7 linked regions of the Xenopus tropicalis genome follow. The protein of the gene in region 1 purifies or fractionates together with the protein of each later gene. This does not show direct contact. Links are inferred from orthologs where the notes say so. Each region holds a gene or a part of one and is shown in the gene's direction. Other genes may lie near its edges. The genes, in order: polr3d, gpn3, uncharacterized protein LOC496835, polr3b, polr3gl, polr3h and polr2e.

What was found.
Region 2: the proteins of polr3d (region 1) and gpn3 purify together in Homo sapiens (affinity purification with mass spectrometry; 3 studies listed by BioGRID and IntAct, counting the BioPlex papers as one, with this or other methods). This does not show direct contact. The link is inferred for Xenopus tropicalis from reciprocal best matches to the Homo sapiens genes POLR3D and GPN3.
Region 3: the proteins of polr3d (region 1) and uncharacterized protein LOC496835 purify together in Homo sapiens (affinity purification with mass spectrometry; 6 studies listed by BioGRID and IntAct, counting the BioPlex papers as one, with this or other methods). This does not show direct contact. The link is inferred for Xenopus tropicalis from reciprocal best matches to the Homo sapiens genes POLR3D and POLR1D.
Region 4: the proteins of polr3d (region 1) and polr3b purify together in Homo sapiens (affinity purification with mass spectrometry; 8 studies listed by BioGRID and IntAct, counting the BioPlex papers as one, with this or other methods). This does not show direct contact. The link is inferred for Xenopus tropicalis from reciprocal best matches to the Homo sapiens genes POLR3D and POLR3B.
Region 5: the proteins of polr3d (region 1) and polr3gl purify together in Homo sapiens (co-immunoprecipitation; 4 studies listed by BioGRID and IntAct, counting the BioPlex papers as one, with this or other methods). This does not show direct contact. The link is inferred for Xenopus tropicalis from reciprocal best matches to the Homo sapiens genes POLR3D and POLR3GL.
Region 6: the proteins of polr3d (region 1) and polr3h purify together in Homo sapiens (affinity purification with mass spectrometry; 6 studies listed by BioGRID and IntAct, counting the BioPlex papers as one, with this or other methods). This does not show direct contact. The link is inferred for Xenopus tropicalis from reciprocal best matches to the Homo sapiens genes POLR3D and POLR3H.
Region 7: the proteins of polr3d (region 1) and polr2e purify together in Homo sapiens (affinity purification with mass spectrometry; 6 studies listed by BioGRID and IntAct, counting the BioPlex papers as one, with this or other methods). This does not show direct contact. The link is inferred for Xenopus tropicalis from reciprocal best matches to the Homo sapiens genes POLR3D and POLR2E.

What each region holds. Positions count from the first base shown.
Region 1 is NC_030679.2:129,689,754-129,694,541, forward strand, and holds the start of polr3d (DNA-directed RNA polymerase III subunit RPC4), read left to right. Parts: upstream 1-1,452; 5' UTR 1,453-1,513; intron 1,514-2,563; 5' UTR 2,564-2,564; coding exon 2,565-2,714; intron 2,715-4,655; coding exon 4,656-4,699; intron 4,700-4,788. UniProt on the Homo sapiens protein: DNA-dependent RNA polymerase catalyzes the transcription of DNA into RNA using the four ribonucleoside triphosphates as substrates.
Region 2 is NC_030677.2:162,794,943-162,799,676, forward strand, and holds the start of gpn3 (GPN-loop GTPase 3), read left to right. Parts: upstream 1-1,589; 5' UTR 1,590-1,686; coding exon 1,687-1,734; intron 1,735-2,450; coding exon 2,451-2,559; intron 2,560-2,836; coding exon 2,837-3,004; intron 3,005-3,175; coding exon 3,176-3,300; intron 3,301-4,233; coding exon 4,234-4,349; intron 4,350-4,547; coding exon 4,548-4,644; intron 4,645-4,734. Other genes in the region: arpc3 (actin-related protein 2/3 complex subunit 3), read right to left, coding at 1,348-1,353. UniProt on the Homo sapiens protein: Small GTPase required for proper localization of RNA polymerase II (RNAPII). May act at an RNAP assembly step prior to nuclear import.
Region 3 is NC_030678.2:155,277,404-155,282,174, reverse strand, and holds the start of uncharacterized protein LOC496835, read left to right. Parts: upstream 1-1,670; 5' UTR 1,671-1,676; coding exon 1,677-1,699; intron 1,700-3,051; coding exon 3,052-3,126; intron 3,127-4,771.
Region 4 is NC_030679.2:15,932,290-15,936,429, reverse strand, and holds part of polr3b (DNA-directed RNA polymerase III subunit RPC2), read left to right. Parts: intron 1-3,509; coding exon 3,510-3,639; 3' UTR 3,640-4,140. UniProt on the Homo sapiens protein: Catalytic core component of RNA polymerase III (Pol III), a DNA-dependent RNA polymerase which synthesizes small non-coding RNAs using the four ribonucleoside triphosphates as substrates.
Region 5 is NC_030684.2:128,432,208-128,436,347, forward strand, and holds part of polr3gl (DNA-directed RNA polymerase III subunit RPC7-like), read left to right. Parts: intron 1-1,372; 5' UTR 1,373-1,409; coding exon 1,410-1,529; intron 1,530-3,171; coding exon 3,172-3,301; intron 3,302-4,140. UniProt on the Homo sapiens protein: DNA-dependent RNA polymerase catalyzes the transcription of DNA into RNA using the four ribonucleoside triphosphates as substrates. Specific peripheric component of RNA polymerase III which synthesizes small RNAs, such as 5S rRNA and tRNAs.
Region 6 is NC_030680.2:120,319,364-120,322,170, forward strand, and holds part of polr3h (DNA-directed RNA polymerase III subunit RPC8), read left to right. Parts: intron 1-1,289; coding exon 1,290-1,386; intron 1,387-2,017; coding exon 2,018-2,104; intron 2,105-2,574; coding exon 2,575-2,638; intron 2,639-2,772; coding exon 2,773-2,807.
Region 7 is NC_030677.2:100,193,746-100,196,926, reverse strand, and holds part of polr2e (DNA-directed RNA polymerases I, II, and III subunit RPABC1), read left to right. Parts: intron 1-1,233; coding exon 1,234-1,292; intron 1,293-2,023; coding exon 2,024-2,102; intron 2,103-3,181. UniProt on the Homo sapiens protein: DNA-dependent RNA polymerase catalyzes the transcription of DNA into RNA using the four ribonucleoside triphosphates as substrates.

The sequences.
Region 1 (4,788 bases):
GGAAAATCTGCAAATTCACAGAAGTGGTCACATTGGGTGCTCATAGACCTCAAGTGGATTTGGGTGTTATAATTTAGCAACATAACTTGGTGTGATAATTACAAAAAAGAGTGGTAGTAAAATATAACGAGCATGTACTTTTGTAAACAATATCAAGCTTTTTTTTTTTCCATTTTCACCTTATGTTAGGTCTAAAGACAGACGAGTTACACACAACTAATATTGGACCTGGGACACAAGGTATTTGGAGTAGGGATCAAATATTTGGATTTTGCACTATTTAAAGGAGACATATTGGATAAATGGGAAAAACCCTAATTTTGTAGGCAATTATGAATAATATTCGGTGCTGGTTTCCCATTGTGTTTAAAATTAATCCTATCTGTAAAAATGGCCCCTTTGTTGGAGCTCCCTATAGATCCTGTCTCTTCTCTGACCAAGTTTGAAATAAAGAGTGGGCGAGTCCTAACGGTCCCTGCCAGAAGCACAGTAGGAGGGGGAGAGCCAATCACAGCCCTGCACTCACACAAGCGCAGACAGGCTTCAGTTCCCTATCAGGTCAGCCTAGCTGCTGATTGGTTCCTATCCTACAGTGCAGTGTACGGAGGGCCGCCGGCTCCCCAGCTCATCCAGAGAATTCAGCCAGCAGGAAGTGGAACAGATGGGCGGGGCTAGTGGGGTTTTGGGGGAATTTCTCAATAAATCAGTCTGAAACACAACTTTTTTAAGCACATTCCTTCTATATCTAGAGGAGTATAATTCACTGGTACATTCATAATTTATATAGGATATGTCTCCTTTAATAATAATAATAATCATATTATTTTTGACCCAAAATGTATGACAGAGTAAACATTTACATAATTCTCCAAAAAAAAAAAACCCCAAACCTGATTCTTTAAAAAAACAAAAAACTTTTTTAGCCAAATTGGGAGAAGAGGCTCTGCTGTGAGCAGATTCTTGGACACTACCATCAATAAGCACCCTAAAACTACAGACTACTCATTATACCCGCAAGATACTTTTATATTAGCCCATATGTTGTCCCTAAATGATGGAAAAGTATCATTCCAGTCTTCATATAAAACTCTGGATCAGAACATAAAATAACTGATTTTGGGTAACTGTGGGTGGCAGTCAGTGTGGGCAAACTCATCTGCCAAACAGGGATCTTTACTGACGCCCTTTGGAACCCTGAAACTTTTAGAAAAAAAAATACAGCTACCCTCAAATTACAAAGTTGCTAAAAAGATCCTATCATTTTACCCACCCATGTTTTGCACACAAATTTTTTTCCTATTTAGTTCGAGCAGACTCAGCAGCACTCTCCAACAACTTGAGGGCTCCGCTCAGTCCGCTCGCCACTCCCACAAGGCGGCTACGTCCCGTGTCCCTGCACTTATATGTAGGCGTGACGTCACACTCTCGCGTGATGAGACTTGCGGCGTCGGGATTTCGTGTGAGACATGTGGAAAGGCGGAAGCAAGTAACAGCTCTGGGAGGTGTAAGTAAGGTAAAGCAATGGTGTTGAGAACTATGCACTTTCTTGGATCAGCCGGGCCCTCTGCTGTCAGTGAGCTGCAGTTTTGGGAGAGGAGCATTGGAGCTACGGTATTTGCAGCGGGGAAAGAACAAGCAGACTCCCCAGCTCCCTTCTGAAGTCTACAGCTCACTGACAGCAGGGGACCTGACTAATCCAGGTAAGCACAGCGGGCCCTTTTAAGGCTGAAGACACACAGAGCTACTAGTAACAGCTACTTGTTGTGGCTACAGAAACAGACAATGCTGATCATTTACTGATAATTGTCTCTTGGTGTGTTTTGGCAGAGGCAATTCTCAGTATTGTCTATGGCGGGGATTTTCTGGTATTTAGTAGCCGTGAAAAAGTAGCTGCTACTAGTAGCTCCGTGTGTCTTCACCCTAAGGGCAGTGACACACGGGGAGATTAGTCTCCACGCAACCAATCTTCGTTGTTGTGGGCGACTAATCCCGTCCGACCATCCCGCTAGAATGTAAATCAGCGGTGGGATGGCATATGCAGCCCCGCGATTTGCCAAAGTCGCCCGAAGTTTCCTCTCAAGGCAACTTCGGCAAATAGCGGTGCTGCGTATGCACACAGGGAGATTAGTCGCCTCAAGACCATTCTTTCTCCCCGCAATCCCATCCCACCAGCTAGAATGTAAATCGGCGGTGGGATGGCATATGCGCCACCGCGATTTGCCGAAGTAGCGCGAAGTTTCCTTGCAAGGGAACTTTGGCAAATCGCGGTGCTGCGTATGCCATCTCACCGGCGATTTACATTATAGCTGGTGGGATGGCATTGCAGGGAGTTTAGTCGCCCGCGACGACGAAGATTTGTCACACTGTGACTAATCTCCCTGTGTGTCACTGCCCTAAAATCCCTCATGGTGGCCCTGGGGCTTAGCCTCCACTACAGGTGGCCAGTTTTGTATATAAATATATAGACAGTGTTTTATAGAAAGCAAGCAGTAACATAAACACCACCACGTAGGTGTAGGAAACGTTCCTATCCCCATTCTCATGTATTAATTCTCCCCAACAGAATGTCTGACGGTAATCCAAGCAACGATGGTGGGGGGCCGCGTACTCCAATGGGCAGGGGGCTTGTGGGACGCAGATCTTCTACTCCTCTTACCCCAGGTCGCCTTCCTTCCATCCGCTCCCGAGATCTTACGCTTGGCGGAGTCAGAAAGGTGGGTTTCCATTGGCTGTTCTTACAGAGAAGTGGCTGGTCAAATGTGACTATCTACTGCCAGTTCTAATATCTGCACATATATGTATGTTGGATATCACATGTATCTCAACCAGGCCGTACTGTCACTAAGGGCGAAGACACACGAATATACTTAGAAGCAGCTACTTTTCATTGCTACTAAACCCCAGAAAATGCCCTGCCATAGACAGTACTGAGAATTGCCTCTGCTAAAACACATGTAGAGACAATTATCAGTCACCAGAGAATGTTTATTTTTAGCAAAAAAAAGCAATAACAAGGAAATGGAAAGACTCAACACCCCCCAAATATTCACATTGGCTCTCTGAAGTCAAACACCTATGTGCAATGGAAAGTCTAATATATAAAACTAGAGGAGCCCCCAAAAAACACGAAAAAATATGGGGAAAATGGCTAGAAAAATCCACTTAAGTGAGCTATGGCGGTATTTTCTCAAAGCATTTTATGATAGTATGTTTGTAACTGTAATATGTGCCAACATCCGAGGGAAACAGTCAGCAATGACAAGGGAAAGGAAAGTGCATACAAAAGATAAGGTTATAATGTAATTTAAAATGCTGTTGCAACTTTTGTTACTGCAAAACATGTCATATACTAAAACTACATTGTGGAACTCTGCCTCATAAATGTGATGTATATATGCTGAAACTGATGTAAAATCTTCTCAATAAACTTGCCTGAATTAAAAAAAAAAAAAAAAAGACAATTATCAGTAAATGATCAGCATTGACTATTTTAGTAGCCATGACAAGTAGCTGCTAGTAGTAGCTTCATGTGTCACCCTAACTTAATACTGCCCTGGTGCGGTTATTAGGGCTGTGACAGACAGGGAGATTAGTCGCTTGGCAAATAATCTCCCTGTCTATCACAGCTCTTAAAGGGCACCCCCCACCAAATAGGGGAAACAATAGCCTTTCTTTTAAAAACTGCCCCTGACAGCGCTGGGAGGGAGCCCCCGTTGTGGCCAGCCATGTTGGAGCCGCAACTTGACAACATAACTCATTATGCGCATGTGTGTAACTTAGGAGGGTGATTTACATCCACCACTCCTACGACACGTGCATAGTAAGTAAGCGGGGATATCCGCGCATGTGCGCCGACCAACATAGCCGATCGTACTGGGAGCTCTCTCCCAGTGAGGGTAGCCCGGCGCTGGAAGTTTTTTTTTTTTTTTTTTTTTTTTAAACTCTTGTTTCTCTCAACTGGAATGCAGGCTCTATTAGGCCACACCTCTGGTGGAGGAAACAATATTGGTGTGATAGGTGCCCTTTAAGTTTTTTTGGCTGTAGGACTCTCAGTGAAGATTCATTTATATCATAGGTGTTTTACGGGTCATATTCAGTCATGGAGGGGTAAGAGCAATGAGGTGCACAAAAGCACATTTGAGAAGTCTCTTGCGCCCCCCTGCACTCTGTGCCGGATAAAAAAAAATATTTGATGCTGAGTGACAAGCAAAGCCTCAGGATGGGCCCCACTTTGGGCTGAACATCGTGCTGCTACTACCTTGCCAATACCTCAGTATTAAGTACAAGATAGGGGGCGGGAGGAAAGGACGCCTGTGTGCCCCTCCAGCCACCCTTTTTAAACTACACAGTGGGCAAAGTGCAAAAAATGGGCGATTGCAGACCTTTTTTTTTTTGCACACTGCAAGGGGGCTTTGTAAATGAGCCTTTAGTGTTCTTGCCAAACATCTCTATCAGTTCATCTTCAAGAACGGACTCCCTTGTATTGTAGGTCAATACAAATTGCACTGATATTTTGTATAAATCCTACTTCATGTTATTTAATCAGTGTATGGGAAGGCTGTAAGGACATACATTTTATCGTTTTTTTTCTGTATGTCTAATAATATAAGAGTTTTGACATGTCTTAAAGACCTGCACTATCTCTTCTCTTACAGAAAACATTTGCTCCCAACATCATCAGTAGAAAGATAAAAGAAGAGTAAGGAAAATGGCACCTAAAGGGAACTTTCCTGCTTTGTTGTACCCATCTATTTATCTTCTTTTTTTTTTTTTACTGTATCTATTTTT
Region 2 (4,734 bases), on another chromosome or scaffold:
AAGCTCTTGTGATAGCATGGGTGTAGTTTGAAGTGGGTGTGGTTTAAAAAAGGGGAGTGGTCAAAAGTGTCTTCCATTATCGGCCCTCCACCATGTAGGCAAGAAAAATTCCGGCCCTCGGTACAACAGAAGTTGGACAGCACTGCCCTAGAATATGTTAGATGGTAATATTTACTTATAAGTAAGTAAATTATCTGTTTGTGAAGTATTTGTTCTGAAGGTATAGTTTTCCATTAAAGAAGTCTTAAAAACTCAATTGGGGAAGTGTATCATGTTTATTCCACAAGGGATGGCTTTTGGATCCTTTTAGCCCTTACTGGTTATTCTGAATACATCCCAAACTCTACAACAGAAGCCATGTTCCAAAAACTGACACCGATCTTGGCAGTAGCTTAGTAATTTGTCTGCAAGTTGGGTTATACAGATCTGAATTTTTAAAGAGTATTTAACATCAAACCAGGGGATTTGGATGCAATTAGGAGCTCATTTTCATGTATCTACACACAACTTTTAAGCAGTCATATAATATTTATGGAACAGTACATCATATACATATTTTCTAGAAGGCCTTGCTATATTTATGTCTGAGGATAAAAGAAAATGCATTTACCTAATTATAGAACGTTTCGCAATCTGAAAATGAAACACTGTGTATGGCTGCTAAAGTGTATGAGTTGGGTTGCAGCAATGTAGCTGACAGCTAAGCAAATGCCTCCCGTGTGTCGGCCCCAGCCACTTCCTGCATGACTAACACTCTTCCCCTTTTTGCACAATCTGCAGGGCAAGTAGTGGCCTGACTAGCTGTAGCCCACCCCTATCCCATCACAAATAAAATAATACCGTATGGCAGTTCTGTGACCGTGTTACATATGATAGGAGCGCTGGGGAAGCAATGAGAGATCCTTGCGCAAGATCACATGAAACAGGTAGAAAGAAAAAGCCCAGCGATCCACCCTCATTTCATCTCTAGGCAATTCCTTCAATATATATACGTGGGCACTGGCACTGGCACGGTAGTGGGGGCGTTCTGCCTTACCAGCGCCAGAGAGATCACATACAGTCAATCGCTGGTGTGTTCATAAGACTAAAAGGCAACATACAGAACATACAATGAGCCCTTAGCTGTAGGGATTCTGGGGGCCGCGGTGCAGCCGGCAATGCTAACGCGGAAGCGTACCTGCACTGGGCCCCAGACATTGGCAACACCGAATCTTATCATTATGGCCATTGGCTCTAAGTAATGCAGGTACCGGCGGGCAAGCCCTGCTCTACCCCAGTTCGCCTCCTGCCCCGAGATCCGGCTGCTCCAACGCAGCATAGAATACGCAGGAAAAAGAAAAAACTCACCGGCATCTTTAACACCCCTGAATATTTGAAAGGAATCCGGGAGACCAAACGTTGTAGTATCTGTACTTCCGCTGTCCCACCCAAGGCTTCGCAAGCAGGAAGTTATAACATTAGCACAGCTAGTGCGTCTCATGGCCGCTAGAGGGCGCCAGCTTAATCGCAGGGAAGGTGAGGCGTCCGTAGCAAAGCGTCCCGGAAGTACAGCAGCGCGACTACTAGGCAGCATTACAGGCAAGGAGGCGCTTCCGGCATGTCTTATTGCAAAGGGACTGTGGGGAACTAGGTGTTCTTGCTCCTTATTGGATCACCTGGGCAGTTTTCAAGTCTGATGCAAGGAGAATGCCGCGATATGCACAGCTCGTTATGGGGCCCGCCGGCAGCGGAAAGGTAATTTCTGGGTTTGGTCTCTCAAAATTGTGGATTTGTATCATACCTTTAATGGGTAACTATAGAGCAGTATTACAGTGTAAGATTTCTGCAGTTCGGGATCCCTTTTCCAGTTTTTCCTGGAGCCTGAAGAAGAGACCTCTCTTGTTTGCTATTAAAAGAAAGTAAAATAATAATTACAGTAGGATGCCTAGGCATGTGCGCAGTACTAACTATATACTGACTATATACTGACACCTACAATTAAACTGTTTTTAATAGCTTATAACATTGTCTTTGCATGAGCTGTATACTTTCTTTTTAAAATGCTTTTACGTTACCAGTACCTCTAGAAGGAGGCTGCCATATTTGTGCAGCAATAGTCTGTAACTGTAAATTCCAATAGGTTGAAAAGGGACAGTCAGGTTGGCAAAATAGTCAGGTTTAGGCCCTTAAAGTAGCAATTCCTTACAAAAGCAGCCTATCAGTAAAATATGACCAACATGACCTATAGGTAAGTTTTTATGTACATAAAAAATAGGTAAGGTTTTTTTTTTTGGTGTCAGTATCACATAAGGTTTTCTAATTTTATGTATTGCATATGAGCAAGTCTAGAATGCCACAAAGGAGCCTTGGCATATGTATAGACCTATGTGTGTCTAATATATTACAACAGTAGAATTTTTTTTTAATTACATCTTTTTGGCAGATGGTGATTATTAATCTTTGTATTTCAGAGCACTTATTGTTCCACCATGGTGCAGCACTGTGGGAGTTTGAACCGATCTGTCCAAGTGGTTAATCTGGATCCTGCAGCTGAGCATTTTGATTATCCTGTATTGGCTGGTAAACCACTCCCTTACATATGTCAGATTATCTTAGTGGAGAAATAACTATTAAATGCTGTTTGCTTAAATATTACAAATAGAATAATGTAACACAGGTGTGCCAATAAAAATGTTTCATAGTCCTGTTTGATAAAGTTATCTCTGCTTCACCAAGTAGAGCATTCTACAGTCTAACCAGTCCCCTGTGAAATAACTATTTGTATTGCTTCGGATGAAAGTGCATTTTCTCTAGTCTAACAGTGAAAATAATTATCTTTTGTTTTTGTTTTTTTAAGATATCCGGGAACTGATTGAAGTGGATGATGTGATGGAGGATCGTTCATTGCGATTTGGCCCAAATGGGGGCCTTGTATATTGTATGGAGTATTTTGCCAACAATTTTGACTGGCTGGAGAGTTGCCTTGGACACACAGAAGATGATTACATACTTTTTGACTGTCCAGGTGAGAACTTTAGCAAACAGTTGTTTTGGAATGAGTTAGTGATGCTGGCAGATGCTCTGAAGGGTTGAATTTAATGGATATTTTCTTTTGTTAACTTAAATAAAAAAAAAAAAACATATGTACATTTGCTGTGCTAGACCTGGTTTTGAAAATTTTGCTTTTGCTTCTTAGGTCAAATTGAGCTGTATACTCATCTGCCTGTCATGAAGTACCTCGTGGAGCAGCTCCAGCAATGGGAATTTAGGGTCTGTGGGGTTTTTCTTGTTGACTCTCAGTTCATGGTGGAATCATTCAAGGTACAGTAGCAGAGTGAAATGTTTTCACATTACATGCATACAGCGGTGCCGCAGGGGTTCTAGCTGCCAAGTTGCTTTTTCGTGTCAGGGGGGGCCTTTTGCTAGTGCAGAGAGTGCAATAGCACCCTCCTCAATAAAAGAGCCTAAATTCCAATTTAAAAATTGGGATTTCGGCTCTTGAAGTTACCAGTAGTGCTTTTTGCTGCCCTTGGTAACTTGCCGGCACTGTGCCTGAGGCCAGTTTCTTAACACGCTTAATAGCAGCAGTGCCCCTGCATGCATACTTGTAAAACCTTTTGTTGTCCAGCAGATTAGCAGATGGGGGCTTCCTTGCTCATAATTTAGTCAGAAGTGTTATTTAAGTTGATTCACATAGGGCAGTTAGCAGGTCCCTTGGTAGTATTGTTATTTGTAGAGGTACCAATCTTTGTAATGGCTTTCAAGCCATTTTGCAATTCTGTAATGGTTTATATCAAGGCAAAAGAAACAAATCAATTTGGCCCCTTGCTGAATAGTTTGGTAACCTAAACATAGGTGTACACATGGCTTAAAAATATATTACCCACAGAGGTGTTAATATGGAAGATAAAAGGAATCATAAGGCTGCTGTGTGCTTCTAGATCCACACAGGGTTTAACTGGTGAATATGTTCTTTCAACTTGTTGCAAGAAGCCTAATAAATAAATTCTGAGAAAATGCTTCCTCAAGCTTATAAACAGTGCAAACTTCTCCAGTCAGCATTGCTAGACAAAGAAAAAAAATTAAAACACAGAAAAAATTATTTGATTTATATGAAGACAATTATCACTTGTGTCTTAGAAATGGGAAACTAAACTAGCAGCCAGCATGATCTATAAACTAACCTACCAGAAAAGGCTGTAGTGATTATGTGATAATAAAAAATCATTGTGCATCTTGTGTGTTTTGTTTCAGTTTCTTTCTGGGGTTTTGGCTGCTCTCAGTGCTATGGTTTCCTTAGAGATACCGCAATGTAATATAATGACAAAGATGGATTTATTAGGGAAAAAAGCCAAAAAAGAAATTGAAAAGTAAGTTTAATTTTTATTATGAGTTTTTGGGTCAGATTTGTGGAAATGGCTTTACAGTGTCATTAAAACTGTTCATTATTGACAGTTATGTTACCATGCATGATATCAAGACTTAAAAAATATAGATTGAAAAAAAAAAACTGCAAAAGTGTCGAGAGATCTGCATGTTTGTGGTTAACTCTTTCTTTCTATTTTTAGGTTTTTAGATCCAGACATGTATTCCATGATTGAAGATACATCAAATCGATTTAAAAGTAACAAGTTCAAGAAACTGACAGAGGCACTTTGTGGACTTGTGAGTTACTTTAACTTCCAAATCCACTCCATAAATAATATTCCACTTGCAACTGTATATGAGATGATGTCTGTAGATTACACACTGCTT
Region 3 (4,771 bases), on another chromosome or scaffold:
ATCAGTGCTGCCTGAGGCAAGGGTCTCATTGCGTAGGGCAGAACAAGAAAGCCTGACACATACAGTTGGTGCCTGAAACCAGTGTCAGAGTGTGGTGTCCAGGGCTCACATTGGAGGCCCCCATCCCAGTCAGGCTTCTGAATGCACAGACATGCCTCCTCCACCCCCTGCCTCAAACAGTAACCTGGACTCAGTGTTGGACTGGGACCCCAGGGGCCCACCGGAAAACCTTAGACCAGTGATCCCCAACCAGTGGCTCGTGAGCAACATGTTGCTCCCAACCATCTCTGATGTTGCTCCCAGTGGCCTCAAAGTAGGTGCCTGTTATTACATTTGTAGCATAGAGACTAGTTTTGAAAATACAGAGGCATCATTTTAATCCACTTCATCGGAGTGTGGCTCACAAGTAAAAAAGGTTGGGGATCCCTGCCTTAGACTATAGGCCCACTCTCCGAACTATTTTTTCTCACCCACCCTCTTTATTCTCCTAGTCTTTTTTATTTACACTATTTCTCCTCTCTGTTCCCATTCAGAAATAGGGAATGGCCATGAAGCAGGCCAAATGGTCAGGAGCAGGAGGGCCCACCGACACCTGGGCCCACCGGGAGTTTTCCTGGTATCCTGGGGGGCCAGTCCGACTGCCTGGGCTGCTGCACTTTTTGAAAAAGAGAAACACCATTCCTGTGTAGCAAGTAAGGGACTAGCACAGTGATCCCATTTAATGTTACTCCCTGAGGCCTTAATGCAGGCACTTATTTTTGAATTCCTGGCTTGGAGGCAAAAAATGAAAGTGTATAAAAATAATTACAATATAATGAACTGTTGCCCTGCACTGGTACAGCTGGTGTGTTTGCCTCAGAAAGTCTATAGTTTATATAAACAAAGGTGCTGTGTAGCCATGGGGGCAGCCATTCAAAGGAGAAAAGGCACAGGCACATAGCAGATAACAGATAAAACCCCATTATATTCTACAGAGCTTATCTGTTATCTGCTATGTAACCTGTGCCTTTTCTCCTTTTTCAAGGTTGAATGGCTGCCCCCATGGCTACACAGCAGCTTATTATATATAAATTATAGTAGAGTTACTGTAGCAAACACACAACTTTACCTGTGCAGGGCAACAGTACATTATATTTTAAATACTTTAATACACTTTCATTTTTGGCGTTACTGTTCCTTTAACCGCGCTGCCAACCTACAGGCATTAGTGACAGGGAGGAATGCAGAGTGGAAATTGTTTTCTCAATACGCCAGTATTTGGCACAATCTCTGAGGTTTTTCAAGTTTGTTTTGTTCCCCAACTCATTTTAAAGTTACTAACAGGTAAAAAAGTTAGGGTATCCCTACACTAGAACCACTTTGCTGTGTTCTCCAACTTGCCCCCCCCAAAACCCCCTATGGTTTTGCGCCAGAGTTTGGGTAAACTTAGCACAATCATTCCACAACTTTTTTTAACCATTGATGACAGTCGTCGTAGTGTTAATCAATATTTTACTATCCATGTGATCTCACAGCGCTGCCCAAAACTATATATATATATATTCCCTTCAGCACTAGGGAGGCACTCCGCAGCTCAGTGACGCCTCTGGCCCCGCCCATTCCGGAAGTCGCTGCGCTGCTTGGCGTTGTTGCCATCTCGCCAGTGTATTTCCGGGTTCCTTTGCTGCAGAGCAGAAATGCAGGAAGACGAATTGGAACGGTACGAAGTATATGCGAAATAGAAATAAAATTGCATGCTGCTGCTTGTGAGCTGTCTATGTTTTACCCCAGTGAACGCTTTATAGTGCAGAGACTGCTTGGGTAGTGGGTGAAGGATAAATAATAATATATACATGAATTGTTATGGGACAGCTGTTGCTGGGGAAGTGGGGACTGATTGGGTGCAGTTACTTTTGGGTCCTTGTTAGGAATACATAGGGGGAGATTTACTAATCCACGAATCCGAAACCGGAATGGCAAAAATTCAGATTGGAAAGAAAATTTTGCCGTCTTTTCGTCGCCGCCGCAACTTTTTCGTATTTGTCGCGACTTTTTCGTCGCCGACACGACATTATCGTATTTTGCGCAACTATTTCGTCGCCGTTGCAATTTTTTCGTATTGAGCGATTGTAAACGGCGGAAAAACCAATCCGATTTTTTCGCGACGGCGACGAAAAAGTTGCAGAAAATATACGAAAAAGTCGCAAAAATACCGATCATTGCGAAAAAAACGCATGCGGATGCCTTCGGACCGTTCGTGGATTAGTAAATCTGCCCCATAGTGTTGATCCGTAGGCTATAGAGAGCTCTTACTGGTACTGAAAGCCAGCTGGCCAGACTGTGGTTCATGTATATCACTGAAAGGCAACCAATAGCCCTTTTTGTATTGTGGAATTACAGCTTCCAGGGTTGGTTGTTGCAGTGGGAGTTAAAGTTAAACTACATCAATAAAGCAGCAATTAGAGATGTGATTTTGGTTTTCACTTTTTTGTAAAAAAAAAAAAAAATACTGGCCTTTCTATGTAATTATCTTTCTTCCCTATTAATAACATTGACATCAAGCATTATTTTGACCGGCTGGGTTGGTATAATACCAAGCAGCCATAGATGGAATTAGGATTGTGCACATTTACATGTCTCTGGGAAGCACTGTGCATGGTTCAGGATTTGTAGGTCCCATAGATTTTGCTTAGAACACTCTCAGCCCACTTATAATAAAATAGTAAACCAATAAAAGCAGTTTGGTCATGCAGTTTTTGGTGCCGTTGCCATATTAATACATATTCAGTGTACTTGCCTGGAGACCAAAAGAAGAGACTGCTAGTTGGAGGCAGATTTGTTGAAATAATGGAATTTTTAAAAAAAAAACGTAAAGTATACTAATGTTTAATAATGTTAATAGGCCTTATTTCATGCGTTTGATACATTTTTTGTCCTCTTTAAATTGGTGTAAAAGAACTTTCCCCCCAAAACATGTGTGTAGATTTTTATTTATGTAGCAATACTTATATATGTTGGGCTGTACAGCCGATATTGTTAATGCTAATTTCTTGCTCTTTTATGCCGATGCAGGAAAGCTGTAGAAGAGCTTCTCAAAGAAGCAAAACGTGGCAAGATCCGAGCTGAAACTATGGGACCAATGGGCTGGTAAGTGGTTTCTTTATACAATTTTTAATGATATATGTGCGTGTAACACTATTGTATGGTTAGTAACTGTGTTCATATTAAAAATACTGGTGTGTTTATAAAACTTGAAAAAACTGTTCTCTTCCTTTAAAAAAGGAAATGGGTAGTCAATGGAGGGAGGTGCAAACCCCTCATACAGTTATTATAATCATCATTATTATTTTCACTTAAAATACACTGGCCCTGTGTACTATTCTTGTGAGGCCTGTCCTGTGCCTATGTGCAGCATAGTAAAATGTGTAATTCAATGTGAAATGACAGGTAGGCTTCTCTTGCACTTAAACACAGAGTAGGGCCACTGCAAAGATTCAGAGAACAGCAATAAGATGACTGCATGGCGCTAATAAGGATAATACCCCAAGCCAGTCATAGGTAAGTGATTATAATCTAGGAATCCCAAACCCGAAATATGCTAATTAGGAAGAGAAAGGGGGAAAAATTGCAGCGTGCGCAGCAAAAAATTTTTCCCCCTACCATATAATCCTTACAAACATGGGCGTCCGCAGAAAATTTTCCAAGGGGGGGCAAGTAAGCTAGCATCATCCTGCAACAGACAAATATATATATATATATATATTTAAAAATATATATTTTTTTTTTGCAGGATGATACTAGGGGAGGCTAAAGATGGCCCATACACAGTCCGACCTACAGCTAATGTGACACTTAGTGGATTCGCTGCTGGCGTAAAAAGTTAACCTCCCAACTACCTCTTGCCGTTCCCACTGACTACCAGGGATACTGTACAAAAGTGCGGGTGGGGGTGCTTTTTTTTTTTTACCCTAAAATGTTTAGGATGTAAAAGTATTCATACGCGCACGCGGGATCTGCAAACATTTGTGTTTGTGATCAGTTAGCTTAAAGGGGTAGTTCGCATTCAATTCACTTTTATTTTTAATGGTTTTTCAGTTATTTAGCTTTTTGTTCAGCAGCTCTCCATTTGGTATTTCAGCAGCTATCTGGTTGCTAGGGTCTTATTTACCCTAGCAACCAGGTAGTGGTTTAAACAAGAGATGGGAATATGAATAGTTAAGGGGCCTACTTAGAAAAATAAGTAATACAAAATTATAATAATAATAAAATTGTAGCCTCACAGAGCAATATTTTTTGGCCCCCATTTGAAATCTGTATAGAGGCAGAAGAGAAAGGCAAATTATTCAAAAAAATTAATTAGAAAGACCAATTGCAAAGTTGCTAGGAATAGGCCATTTTATAACATACTAAAGGTTAACTTAAAAGTGAACCACCCCTTTAGATGTGTTTATGTTAGTTTTATAGCAAGAAAGGCAGTGGGTACTGACTCCCCATTATATACAGTGAGACGCAGTCCGTATTTACAAACCCAGCACATTATATACAGGGAGATGCAGTGGGTACTGATGGCAGATATTCAGGCCCTGGCACTATAACACTGGCACTGATACACAACATTGGCCCCACTGTAACTTACTATAAATGAACAAAACAATGACAAAAAAAAAAAAAAATGGTGTATAGTACCTGTGTATAGTGCCTGGGTATAGTGCCTGTGTATAGTGCCTGGGTATAGTGCCTGGGTATAGTGCCTGGGTATAGTACCTGGGTATAGTGCCTGGGTATAGTGCCT
Region 4 (4,140 bases), about 110 Mb from region 1:
AATCTTCCATTTGAGGGAGAAAAACTTTTTGGATCCCAGCTGGAACTTCTAGTGGAAAAGAAGTCTGATGATAAAGTGAGAAGCTTACCTCAAGACAAGAAATTATACCCAATCTAGAGGAAGATCTTCAAGAGGAAGGGGCCGTCCAAATTTCAATCAAAAACCTTTCTCAGCATGACGCCTTGCCAGTTGGAGGAAGATTGAAGGGGTTCGTTCAGGAATGGGAAAAAATCACCTCAGACAAATGGGTGTTACAAACAATAAGCCTAGGATATTCAATAGAATTCTATGGTCTTCCTCCAACAAGATTTATAGAAACACGCTTACCAAAACAAAGGGTTGCAAAACAAGCCATGGAATTAGCAATCCAAGAATTCAAAGAAATGAAAGTATTGATTCAGGTACCCCAAAAAGAAAAATTCAGGGGGGTCTACTCCCCAATCTTCCTTGTACCAAAACCAAACGGGAAATACAGAACCATCATAGATCTAAGATATTTAAATCAATTTATATTCAAGAAGAAGTTCAAAATGGAATCAATAAGATCCACCCTGTTAGCGCTTCGCGAAGGGGATGTGATGTGTACTATAGATCTAAAAGACGCCTACCTTCATATTCCCATAAGGGAATGTCACCATAAATTCTTAAGAGTAGCCATAAGGGGACCTGCAGGAACAGAACACCTTCAATTCGCAGCCCTGCCGTTTGGAATATCGAGTGCACCAAGAGTCTTTACAAAGGTAATAATAGTAGTCGCAGCGTACTTAAGAACTCAAGGTATTGCTATTATTCCTTATCTGGACGATTGTCTACTAAAAGCAGAAACCGATTTAGGGTTACAAAGGAACCTATTCAAAGCAATAGAGGTTTTCCAGTCATTGGGCTGGTTAATAAATTGGGAAAAATCCAATCTAAATCCTACAAAAGAGATAAAGTTTTTGGGAATGATCTGGAACACAGAAGAAGGAAGAATTTTCCTTCCTCCAGGAAAAAGGGAAAAAATCAGAGACAGAGTGCGCAAGTTTCAAAACAAAAAATTTTCTTCAATAAAGCAGGGTTTAGAAATTTTGGGTCTTTTTTCAGCAGTATTAGAAGCAGTTCCATGGGGTCGTGCCCATATGAAGGACCTGCAAAAATATATGAACTCAGTTTGGGATCATCAGAAGGCATCACTCAGAAAGAAACTCTATGTTCCACCGGAAATAAAGAAATCTCTTACTTGGTGGTTACACCCAGGGAACCTTTCAAAAGGTTCATCCCTATTTCCTATTCCTCCCTTAGTCATCACAACAGACGCAAGTGGCAAAGGTTGGGGAGCACATTTAGGAAACCTGGTAGAGCAAGGTATCTGGGAAAAAGGTATTGGTCATCAGGCAGCAAACTCCTTAGAGTTGGAAGCAGTATGGAGAGCTCTGCTTGCTTTCAAAACTATTGTAAAAGACCAAAATGTTCTAATACATACAGACAATGTGGCAACAGCCTACTATATAAATCACCAAGGAGGTTCCAGAAGCAAAGATCTGGGAATGAGAATAAAAAAGATCATGGGCTGGGGAGAAAAAAATCTAAAAAGTATTCTAGCCCGCCATATCTCTGGGCACAGCAATATCAGAGCAGACTTTTTAAGTCGCAGGTTGATACTCCCCGGGGAGTGGAGTCTAGATCCAGAAACATTTCTTCAGATTTGCAAGGTCTGGGGTTCTCCAGAAATAGACCTCATGGCCTCAAAGTACAATGCAAAGCATCAAAGATATTTTTCCCTTACAGCAGGCCAAGGCGAGGAAGCAGTGGATGCTCTAGCCCAATCATGGGATTTCAGCCTAGCATATGTCTTTCCGCCTATCCCTATGTTAGCAAGAGTGATCAAGAAAATTGCACTTTGCTCAACAGAAGTGATTCTAATAGCTCCTGCCTGGCCCAGAAGGAGTTGGTACTCCAGTCTCCTCCAACTTTCTGTCAGTCCTCCTTGGCTCCTTCCAGTGAAGGAAAATCTCCTACACCAGGGACCAATTTTGCATCCAAACCCTGCAGCTCTTCAGCTCACAGCATGGAGACTGAAAGGGATGTTATGAAAGCACAAGGGATATCTTCACCAGTCATTGAAGTTCTGTTACAGAGCAGGAAAGAAATTACAAATAAAATTTATCAAAGAATTTGGTCTTGTTTCAGGAAGTGGTGCTCAAATAAGAAACTAACTCCAGAAGATGTTCCAGTGTCAATCATATTAGATTTTCTACATGATGGATTTAAGAAGAAATTAGCTCCAAATACACTTAAGGTACACATTGCGGCCTTATCAGCTTTCAAGAACATATCCTTGGCGGAGCATCCATTGATCAAAAGATTTGTCAGGGCTGTTCAAAATATTAGACCTAAGACAAATAACCTAACTCCAAATTGGGACTTAGACATTGTGTTAAGAGCCTTACAAAATGTTCCTTTTGAACCCTTGGAAGAAGTTTCCCTGTATCATCTGTCCATTAAAACAGTATTTTTAGTGGCAGTTTGTTCAGCCAGACGCGTAGGAGAACTGCAAGCTTTATCATGTAAAAATTCGTGTCTACAAGTTTTTCCAGACAGGATCATTCTCAAAGCAGATCCTTGGTTCAGACCTAAAGTCTCATCTAATTTTCATAGAAACTTTGAAGTCATTCTTCCAGCTTTTTTTGCAGAACCAAGAAATAAAGTGGAGGAAAAGCTACACTTACTGGATGCCAAAAGATGTGTTTTGTTCTATTTAAACAAGGTAAAACCTTTTCGTATATCTCATAACCTTTTCGTTTCCTTTTGGGGAAAGAACAAGGGGAAGCGTGCCTCAAAAACTTCCATTTCCAGATGGATAAAACAGGCAATTTCCTTAGCCTATTCTGCTTCAGGAAAATCAATACCTCCAAACCTCAAGGCACATTCTACCAGAGCAGTGTCAGCCTCACAGGCAGAAGTTGGAGGTGTGTCAGTGGACCAGATATGTAGAACAGCTTCGTGGGCAAGTTTCAGAACATTTGCAGAGCATTACCGACTGAACGTAGGTACCCCTGGGGAAGTGGCGTTCGCAAATACGGTACTTTATTCAAATTGTAAAAAAAAAACCCCTTGACGTACTGCTACTCAACTCTCTCTAGTAAGTGCTGCCAAGGGACGTGAGGGAAATAACGGATTTATACTTGCGTAAATTCCTTTTCCCTCAGTCCCGAAGGCAGCACAATATCCCTCCCTTACAGTAAATATTCTATCAGCATTGTGTATGTGTCTTATTGCTTGAGAAAATCACTGAGGGCTAGAGGGAAGCAGAGGGACTTATAGGAGATGAGGGGGTGGAGTAATTAATTGGGGGGTGTGGTGTTTTCCTACCAGGTGGAAGTCATCTCTCTAGTAAGTGCTGCCTTCGGGACTGAGGGAAAAGGAATTTAAGTAAGTATAAATCCGTTATTTAGCCTTGATTTTTTGTTGAGCTTTAGTTTCCCTTTAAGAAAGAACCCTTGCTAATGGTTGTTTGTCCTTGTGTCTAGGTGCCATTTCTGCAAGTCGTCTTGTCATGTCTCCTCCTTGAGGATCCCCTACGCCTGCAAGTTGCTCTTCCAAGAGCTCCAGTCAATGAATATTATCCCCAGACTCAAACTGGCCAAGTATAATGAATAAACTGACTAGAGATGCACCAAATCCAGGATTCAGCTTGGGATTTGGCCAAGATGCAGCCTTTTCCAGCATGATTTGGATCCAGCCGAACCACTCCGAATCCTTAAAATCACTTGACTTTTTGTAACATAAACACAGTTCTCTTTAACCCCTCCGTAGCCTAATTTGCACATACAAATTAGGATTCGGATTCAGTTCAGTATTTGGCAAAATTTTTCACAAAAGATTCGGGGTTCGCCCAAAATAGTGGATTTGGTGCATCCCTAAAACTGACCCCCATCTGCCCCACAGAGGCTGTACATACAGCAAAGACTCTGCTTTGTTGGCATGTAAATAATATGATTTATTTAACCAGTACAAAGGACTTGCGGGTTGTGGCCAGCGGCCATTTTTCTTTATAGTGTTTTAAAGGAAACCCTATAAAGGCAAAAAGCTTGATGCTAGAGGAAGCCATATTTGGGGTGAAACAGCGTCTCTGTGAGTTTTCTGATATTTATAACGTTT
Region 5 (4,140 bases), on another chromosome or scaffold:
TATTAGGCAGCCTCTATGCACACTATCAGCTTACAGGGGCTTTATTTGGTAGTAAATTCTGTTTTATTCAACCAAAACTTGCCCCCAAGTCAGGAATTCAAAAATAACTCCCTGGTTTGGGGGCACTGGGAGCAACATCCAAGGGGTTTGGTGAGAAATATGTTGGCCCCGAGCCACTGGTTGGGGATCACTGATATAGGAAAGTTCTCAGTGTGTCAGGTTCTAAATAGGCCACTCCCATCCCTTCAGAAAACTGATCAGAGAGACAGAATGAGGACTGATTTAAAGGTATAAAAAGTAGCTTTTTCAGTGGCCTTTGTACTTTTTTTATGTAAAATGCTGCAAGCATTGTTGGTGGTTTACTAAAAATTAGACATTGAAGGCAAACAACCCCTTTAAAGGGAACGTTAGCCCAAGTGATACCTTATATTACCAAAAGTATCTGGACACCTACCTGTCCATTATTTAATGAATTTAAACAAAACAAAAAAAGAAGTGGTCCTGCTGCTCCAGGTCCTTAGCTCAGGGAAGCCGACAGGCTATCATAACAAAGTAAAAATAGATGATGAGCACTAAAAGTTAAACCCAGTGTTGGATGACCACAAGTATCTGGACATCTACCTGTCCACTGTCTCTGTTAATTAAAACAAAACAAAACAGAAGGGCACCAAAGCACAAATCTATGTAGAAGACATACCAATTCAAGAAAGCAGTCTGGGTGCTACTGACCTTTAGCTCAGGGAAGCAGAAAGACCATAACAAAGCAAAAATAGGTGATGGGTAATCCAATTTATCCACAAAGGGCACAAAATAGTAGTCAAAATCTCTGTTTATAACATTATCTCTACAACCTTACACATATTGTGCCCAAAAACACACTTAATCATAGTTCCACATTATTTTAATGAAACCAAAAGTATAGTCCATCTTACCTGAAGAAACACAGGTATTTGGCCAGTTGCAGCCAAGAAAAGCAGATGTGGCAATGGGTCGCTGCCTTGCTGGGTTCCTTTTCCTTACTTGCCACCTCCCCTTGCTCCTGGATGAGTTTACTTCTGAGTTTATGACGACCACATTTTTGGTCTGATGATAAAGCTTCCAGTTTTATAGTGAGAAGTGGGTCCAAGTGGGTAGAAATACAAGTCTGTGGGTTTGGTGGAATAGCCCTTTGAGATCTTTAGCCAAGGGTATTAATATGAATATGTTATCTGTTATACCAACCCATATTCTTCTGGGAAGCCTTTTTACTGGATGGTGGAACATTGTTGGATTGCTATACACTACATGAAGGAAGTCATGAGATATATACAAAAACAAAATATACAACAACATATACAAAATGTCAGGTGATGTTGATATCTCTTATACCCAGGCTAGGTTATTCTACTGTTTCTTGGGCATAGCACAAGATGGCTGGAAAAGGCAGAGGTAGCGGTCGGGGCCAACTGACCTTTAATGTAGAAGCTGTTGGAATTACCAGAGGGGAAGCACTGCCGCCACCCACTCTCCAACCTCCCCCGTTGTTCCCGGTAAGTTAAGCTCTATACAGCTTTGGTATTAAAGGAAAAGTAACACTAAAAATTTTTAAGTAAAAAAATCTATTCTACCCTGCTCCAATAATTGCCCTATCCTGCACACCGTTTATTATTTTGAATGCTTTATTAGAAAATACCTGCTAAAACCTGGCTTCCGGTCATTTGAAATAAGGCGATGCAGAAGCAGAATTGATCGATCACAGCCTGACTCCTTTGATCGATCCTTGCCTGACTCCTTCCTATACAGAAGGAAGGCTAGGATTGATCGTCGCGTAGTGGATTCTGCTTCTACATCGCCGTATCGCCTTATTTCAAATGACCGGAAGCCGGGTTTTAGCAGAAATTTTCTAATAAAGCATTCAAAATAATAAATGGTGTGCAGGATAGGGCAATTATTGGAGCAGGGTAGAATAGATTTTTTACTTACTTTCCTTTAAAGTGTACATGCTATGTATAGAAATGTACCAAAATAGGCATGAGTGGGGAACATATTGTAACTAAACCACAACTCCCCATATTTTTGACTGCTGATATGTGTTATTGGAGTCAGCAGACTGAATTTCAGCAAGAAGCAGTGAACTACAGGCTCCTGATCCATATCTTAGCATTTTAGTATCTGTTTTCCCTGTCTGCCCATTGTGCACTGCCTTCTATTGCTTTCTGACTTTTTGCCTGTTGGGTGGCAGGATCAGGGTCTGCATTTTTCATTACAGTGCCCAGTTGCCCACCCCTGTGCCTGCCATCCACCTGTTTGCTACTATGGGCCCTTTACAAGTGAGATACATGTGGCCTTCCCTAAGGTATAATGGCCTTTTAGTTATACTGTTATGTTTATAGAATATACATAGGCTTATTTTTCATTTGTCATGGGTTTAAATGCTACTTACCTGGATAGTATTAGGTCTTTATTCATTTTTTTGTACTAATAGGTTTTATTATTTTTTCCTTACTTTCCTAACTTTTTTCACTTGAAAGAAAACCCAGCCATGCTGTGTGTCAGTAGTGCATTGCATACTCATGCTGGAATCAGACTGGACTTTACCTGTCAGTGACTGACAGTAGGGTGTGTTGTTTACAGCTGGGAAACATGTTAGGTTGCGGAACTCAAAAGAAATTCATGCAGCAACTCTATGTACAACAGTTTTGTTAAACATTCCCTGCAGTTTCTTTTTAAAGGACAAGGAATGGTTAAATTACTGGGGGGGGGGGGGCACTCCCTTCAGTGATTATAATGACTTACCTGATACTCTGGGCCGGTGGTCCATTTAGTATAAAACTGCTCTGCCCTGGGGTACTCTGAGCAAGCACCACAGAACAATCCTCTTCTTTCACTTCTTCATTCCTCAATCACCCAGGGTGCATGTGTGCATGTGTGTGAAAAAGCAAACTTGGCTTTTCACTTTACTGAAGTGAAGAAGAAACAAGATGTAGATAATGCAGTGGTGCTAGGTCTGAAGTACCCCAGGCTGCTGCAGTTTTCTGCTAACAGGAGCACCAGCGTGGGGTATCAGGTAAGTAATTATAATTACTGGGGGGTGCCTAACATTTGGCACCCCCTCTGTGATTTCATCTTTTCTTCTCCATTAAGAGCTATACACTGTGTATATCATCCTACTCTCTTTGTTGTTTTGTTCAGAACCTGGAATACAAACCAGTACCCCTGCAGACAGGGGAGGAGGTGGAATATATGCTGGCGTTGAAACAAGAACTCCGAGGAGCCATGAAGACTCTCCCGTACTTCATCAAGCCCGCTGCTCCCAAGAAAGGTGTGTTTAGCTTGGCTCTATTTGGTTGCCCTAAAAAGCACTATATCATTTATTGTTGCAAGGGCAAGTAAAGCAATAGAATCATATGGGCGTGTGGTTTTTAATGCAAATGCCTGATTTTTTACCAGCCCCCCATGCAGTTTTACTTAATCTCCCCGGTCTACTTCTCATGCATGTCTGTGACTCCCCAGGCACACTACCCCCAGTTATGTTATGTGCATGCCCATGTCGTCTCGCTCACTCTGGGAACTTGCACCCTAGGTTGCTTCACTTCACAGTTGCTCCCCATTGGTTAAGGTGAGGAGTTGGCGTAAACTGGCAGCACTTGAAAGCTGAACATGCTATCCTTAAACATGTAGGAAAATAGAAGGGTAAACAAGAACATGGCTAGCAATACATTTACATTAACTAACAATACAGTAAAATACCTTTGGTTCAGCAGCCCTATAACTGCAATGATCCATGCTTTCGAATTTGTATACAGCAACCTCCCATTCTTGGGGTCTTGTTAGGCCATCTTTTGAGTGTCAGTGGCACTGCACATGCTCAGTGTGCTGTTGGATACTGTAAAGAAGGAAACCTCAGGGGTCGTTGGAAATTATGCTGCAAAAATAAGGTTACATTTGTCATAGCTGATGCTACATGGCTGAATGCAGTGCAGAATGCACAGGTTTTTATGACACGGTCACTTTATGGTAATTTAAAGCAAAAAGCACTGGTCACGTTATTCATTATAGATATTTATCAGTTATAACACACATAGATTGTGATACCCACCGGCACTTTATTTCAATTTCAGAATGAGTGTTGTGATTAAGTTTATCGTAATTATGATACAA
Region 6 (2,807 bases), on another chromosome or scaffold:
AGAGGCTCCAGGTTTCACTTGAATAGAGTTTAGGGTCACCACCCAGCTGGTATTTGACCATCCTAACGGGCAATTCATCAGCTAAGGCCAATGCCAATATTACAGATTTACTTTAAATGTACTTGCAGGGAAAGCTGTAAAGGTGGCAATCCTACCGATAAATCCCTCCCTTCCCCGACCCTTTCCACTGCTGATCAAACCTTATAAGCAGAGGCCCACCTCTGCCATGGCCATTTTCTTGCCCAGCCTGCCTATTTACCCTTCCTGTTAACTTATTGCCCTGCCTTCAACTGCCGTTCATGCCTGCCTCGACCCTTAAACCGGTATTGTTAGTGAACAAAGGTGGCACGTGTAACAGCGTTATAGGCTCGAGGTGATGTAGAGGGCATGCCGTGCAGATTGCACATGGGCCCCATAAAAAAACACATATGACCAGCATATGCTCAGTTTATTAAACGCAATACTTGATTATAAATTAGCAAAATGCAAGTGATGTTAGTTTGTCCCTCCTCTGTCTGCATTTGGTTTCAAATGCATGATTCTTGGGTAAATATGAATTTTAAAAAAATGATAGAGCCTGTTTTGCATGGCACTTCCAAGACTTATTCATGTCATGTATATACATATACTTTGGTACAGCTTAAAAGCAATGTAATTTGCCTATATAATCTACATTTTATAGTATGTATATGCACACATTTATGTTTGTATCTTTAACATTCACATAGTAAACAAGTAATGCCTTTTCATGTTCCATTGTGCACGTCTATCAATATAGTCTCAATACAATATACTTCTAGCTAGAATTTCTGAATATTAAGTATTTAGACCTGCTACTACACAAGTTGCCTTTGGCACCAAGTTTCCATTTGTGCATGCCCAGATTTAATGTAGGCAGAAATAGGAAAGTATCCAGCTCTAATGTGAATGGTAGATTTACTTGACTAGTATTGCGCCGTATGGTCAGCCTAATATTGGTTCTCTCTCTCTTACTATGGGAAAGAATTAGAAGATTTGATATTCAAAGCTGATCAGTACTGTGTAGTATTGGATTGGGTTGTAATATTTTTCTTGATGATGCATTATGTACATTGTGTATGTGTTATTTTGGGTAGAACTCTTTAACATTTAACATAATAGGAAGGAGGGATTATATGTGCAAACACAGTGTAAATTAACCAACACAGCAAACGTGGAACAAACTTATTGCCACCTCCATTTAAATCCCATTAACGCCCTCTTTCTTCCATTCCATAAAATCAAATCACATTCTGCTTCTTTGTGCTTAGGTTGTATATAACGTGGGTCTCTGTATCTGCCTTTTTGACATTACAAAAATGGATGACTCCTATATATTTCCTGGAGATGGTGCATCACATACAAAAGGTAACACTCTCTGAAAGTCTATCCTGTAGCCCTTTAGATAGACCTGACCTAGAACTCCCAGCGTTTCAATAATAACTATTGGCAGCCTCTAGGATGCTGGGAGTTGCAGCAGAGTGGTATTTTTTTTTTAAGGCAAAAGTTGCTTAAAAAAAGACTTAACTATAAACATTACAGTTTAGGCAAATGGTTAATCTTGCCCTGGCCAAAAGATAAATGGTGCATAACATTTGGCATCCCCCAGTGATTTAACTTTTCCTTTAATATTTAACCACTTTGGCACCAGAGTGACAGTTTACCCTATTTCCTGTTTTTTGCTTCTGCTCTTTTTATTTAACCTTTCTAACTCCCAACACCTTTGACTTTACAACTATTTCCTGTGTTACCAACCTAGCAAATCTTTCCTTACAATATTTTTTCACCTTGTGTCTTACTTCAGTCCTATTCCTCGCTCAGTGAGAACAATATGACTTTCTGTAGCAGAATCACATACATTTTAGTTCAAACCTTCACTAGTTCTGAAGTTTTTTAGCCATATGTTTACATGTTTATGGTACCTTAAGAGCACAAGCTTTGGCATAGTGCTTTAAATAATTTTTGTGCCACTATCCTTTAATCGGCGTGTCACTTTTAGTGCAGTTCCGGTATGTGGTATTTCGTCCTTTCCTTGATGAGATCCTCATGGGGAAGATTAAAGGTTGTAGCCCAGAAGGTGTGCATGGTGAGTATGTAAAATTGTTTGGAATCCTCAGATCTCATACCCTATTTGCTTAGATCGGCATTAGTGTACTGTACTTCTGTAATTGTCTCAGTATTTCACTGTGATGTATTTATAAAGCGCCAACATATTGCACAGCGCTGTACAATAAATACAAAAATACAGCCAATGACTGCTACAGAAGCAAAAGAGGGCCCTGCCCAAAACATATTATGATATCATACTTAATATTAATGTAAAGGTGGTCTTTTCCTTTAAGTTTAATAGCAGACAGGGAGATTTGTGTCCCGCAGTTTAAACTTCTGCAGTAGCCAAGATTTAAACATGGTCAACAAATCTCCCCATGTGCTATTACCCTAAAATGTTAGATCTATTGTTGGTAGGAAGTAATGGGATTGTTTGATTCTGCTAGACATGTCTTGTTCAGCTCCTTAATCTTGCAGATAATACATGATTCTTAATTCCTCCCACAGTTTCCCTAGGCTTCTTTGATGATATTGTTATACCTCCGGAGTCCTTGCAGCAACCAGCAAAATTGTATCTTTTGTGGTAACAGGGACAACTGTTATGGCCCCTCATGTAGCAGAAGTAGTAGCTGTGAGATTCCTTTAGTCTGTTTAGTAAGTGTGTATATTTCCTATCAACATTTCCTTGACAATTTTTGCTCTCAGTGATGAGGCCGAACAGGTATGGGTATGGGAATATG
Region 7 (3,181 bases), on another chromosome or scaffold:
TTTTTTTTTTTTTGTGAGTCCATATAGTTTAGAAGTTCATCTTTATTAAGTTCTGTACTGTTTATTTCTGATAGCTCAGGGATTTTACATTTGACCATAACTTTGTAAACTAAAACTCCCAATATGTTGCATTTGTAGCTCGATTGCTGGATGAATTTGTAGTTCGGTACCTCTAATAGCAAATGATAGGCAGGATGTGTAATTCAGAATATAATAAAAGCCCACTACATTTTAATTTTTTTTTTTTTTTGTGTTTCCTTTGCACACTGTAAAAGAATAGTTATAGTTGATAATACTTGTGCTATGCACGTGGTGTTATGTTTTACATTTGTATAACCACAGCTTTCCCAATTACCTGCTTTAGCATTCCTCTCCTATGATACTATAATCACCTTTTAAAAGAAAGCCAGTAGGGTCAAACATAGTTCAGACGTAGGTGAAAAATGTAAATTTCGAAAAGGGATATAACACATTTAGTGTGCTCAAAGGCTGTACATAACAAAAAAACTATGCCAGCATAGGTAATTTACTGTGCAGTTTTGTTGTGGGATATACAATCATCTTCCTGGGTAGAAAGGATGAAAGAGGGCCTTTTTTGTTACTTGTGGCACACTTACAATATGACACGTGGTTCTTCTGTCCCTCCAAATGTGCCACTTGTATTGGCAGTACATCAGAAACCATTTAGATGCATTCAGTGATGCCGCCTTGCAAATTTGCAATGTAGTCCTGTTCTCAAGTGGTAAAGATTTCTCCATGTATAGGGAAGTTTACCTAAAAAAAATCTAACATACTAAAAACTAATTTGTATTTGTTATCTTAAATTGAAATCTTAACCTTCCTGCTGTTTAAATATATCTGCAAATATACAGTACCATACAATCTGTATGTAAATAAGATGCAAACCAGGCTATTGTTAAAATTGCATATTAATACTATTCCCAATATTTTTGAATGTGATTTTATTTTTAGCTCACAACATAGCTAAAGATATATCAGCTATAGTTCCAAGAATATCTTTTATAGCCAGTGAGGTTTCAAGAAGAGCATCCTCCCCAATTCACACCTTAACTGCCATTCAGTGCCCCATGCCTCTGCTAGAAGGCCCCCATTTTGGGGACATATGTATGTTTTTGTTCTACCTTTCGGGTGAAGATTTTGTTATGTGGTTGTATAAGAGCGAGAGATCAGTCTTTGCTTTCCTTTTGTACATCATTTCTCTTTTATTTCCAGTTGGTTCCAGAACACGTGGTAATGACAAAGGATGAGGTGACGGAATTGCTAGCTCGATAGTATCCTTTTTATTAACCTGCTTTTCTTGGAGAGTGATCGGCTTTTGCACACACACATGACGGAACTTGGATCAGAGATAATTGTTCTAATATGATCTTTCTATAGGTTCTGTATATCCCCCATGGATGATAGGAGTGAGTAACAGTTCAGAAGTCACACTGTTCTAATGCTGTTCACTGTTGGACAAAGCAATAGAGTGCCTTACGTTAATTTGAAATAGGTGTTTTTTCAGGTTTTAAAGAGGAGTATCACTTAATTCATCTCTTTAAACACACAGTATGGGACTTGCCAAGAAATTCTCTAGTTAGACCAGCATGGTTTTTTTTTAGCAATAATGTATTTTTTAAATATACTATATTATTTTACTTAAGTAGAGGTATGGGACCCGTTATCCAGAATGCTCGGGACCAAGGATATTCTGGATAAGGGGTCTTTATGTAAATTGGATCTCCATACCTTAAGTCTACTAAAAAACAAGAAAACATTAATTAAACCCAATAAAATTGTTTTGCCTCCAATAAGGGTTAATTGTATCTTAGTTGGGATCAAATACAAGGTACTGTTTTATTATTACAGAGAAAAAGAAAATGCATTTAAAAATCTGAATTATTTCGTTAAAATGGAGTCTATGGGAGACAGGCTTTCCGTAATTCAGAGCTTTCTGGATAACGGGTTTCCGGATAACTGATCCCATACCTTTAATATCATTTGGCCTTAATAACATCTACAGCAAACTTCGGGAGTCTCAGCTTCCCCGTATTCAGGCTGGTGACCCTGTGGCAAGATACTTTGGGTTAAAGCGTGGTCAGGTAAGAGAGAGAGTGTCTATGGCCTTTTATTTCTTTTCTTATTCTATTTTTTTGTTCATTATAATTTTATAGAGACTATAATTTTGCTTTCCTGTAACTTTTTTCAGTGTTTTAGTGTTGGGACTTGAGAGATATCTGTATGTCTAATGAAAATAAAAATACAGCTTCATCATTGCATTGTTTTGATCCTTATAAACATTGCTTTGTATGAAATAATTTATTCCTTAATAGGTTATAAAGGGCTATGACTAACTGGAAGATTAGTCAGCCCTGGTTCACTGCAATGCAGGGGACTAATATCTAGTGGGAAGGCATACGTGCTGCTTTATTTTCTCAAGTTGCATAAAGTTTCCTCTTGCGACTTTGGAAAACAAAACAACACTTATGCCCTTCCCACCAGCAATTTACTTTAGTGCCCGTGGAAAGGCACTTTGAGGTCATTAGTCACCTGTGGATAAGTCTCCCATGGCACTGAGCTCCCTTCTCTAGTATCAACAGGATATTTTAAACCATCGGCTTTTCTAATATATTTATGGAATTGTATGGGAATCATCTTTCAATAAATATTTTTTTCCAGACAGACAAATTCATCAGTCTGAAAAAAGCCACAATATCTGTGATTGTTGGCACCAGTTCCTGACCTCCTTAGGGTAATAGTGTAATGCAGTCCCTTACTCACCATGTTCTATTGTTAGTTCTAAACTTAAAATCCCTTTGCTTTCCATAATGGTTGGTATAGAGATTGTGGAAAGCAGAGGGGCTTCATGTCATAGAATCTATCACATCACAGTGGATCAAGGTGAGGGTGGGAGTTGTATAACACTGTAAACCTAAGGCAGCTAAGGAACTGGTCCCAGAGATCATGGTTTCTTTTTTTCCCTCTAAGTTAAGATATTGTTTATGCACCTTTTCTACATAAGGTAAATATACCCCCATGTTGACATGAGCTCACGGCAATAGACAAACAGAATTTGCTTTAAATAATACACAAAGAATTGTACTTCTTGTGTTGACCCCTGCATTATTTAAAATGAGTTTGTATGTTCTCTGTGTGGCAGGTTGACTGGCTCCTGATGATT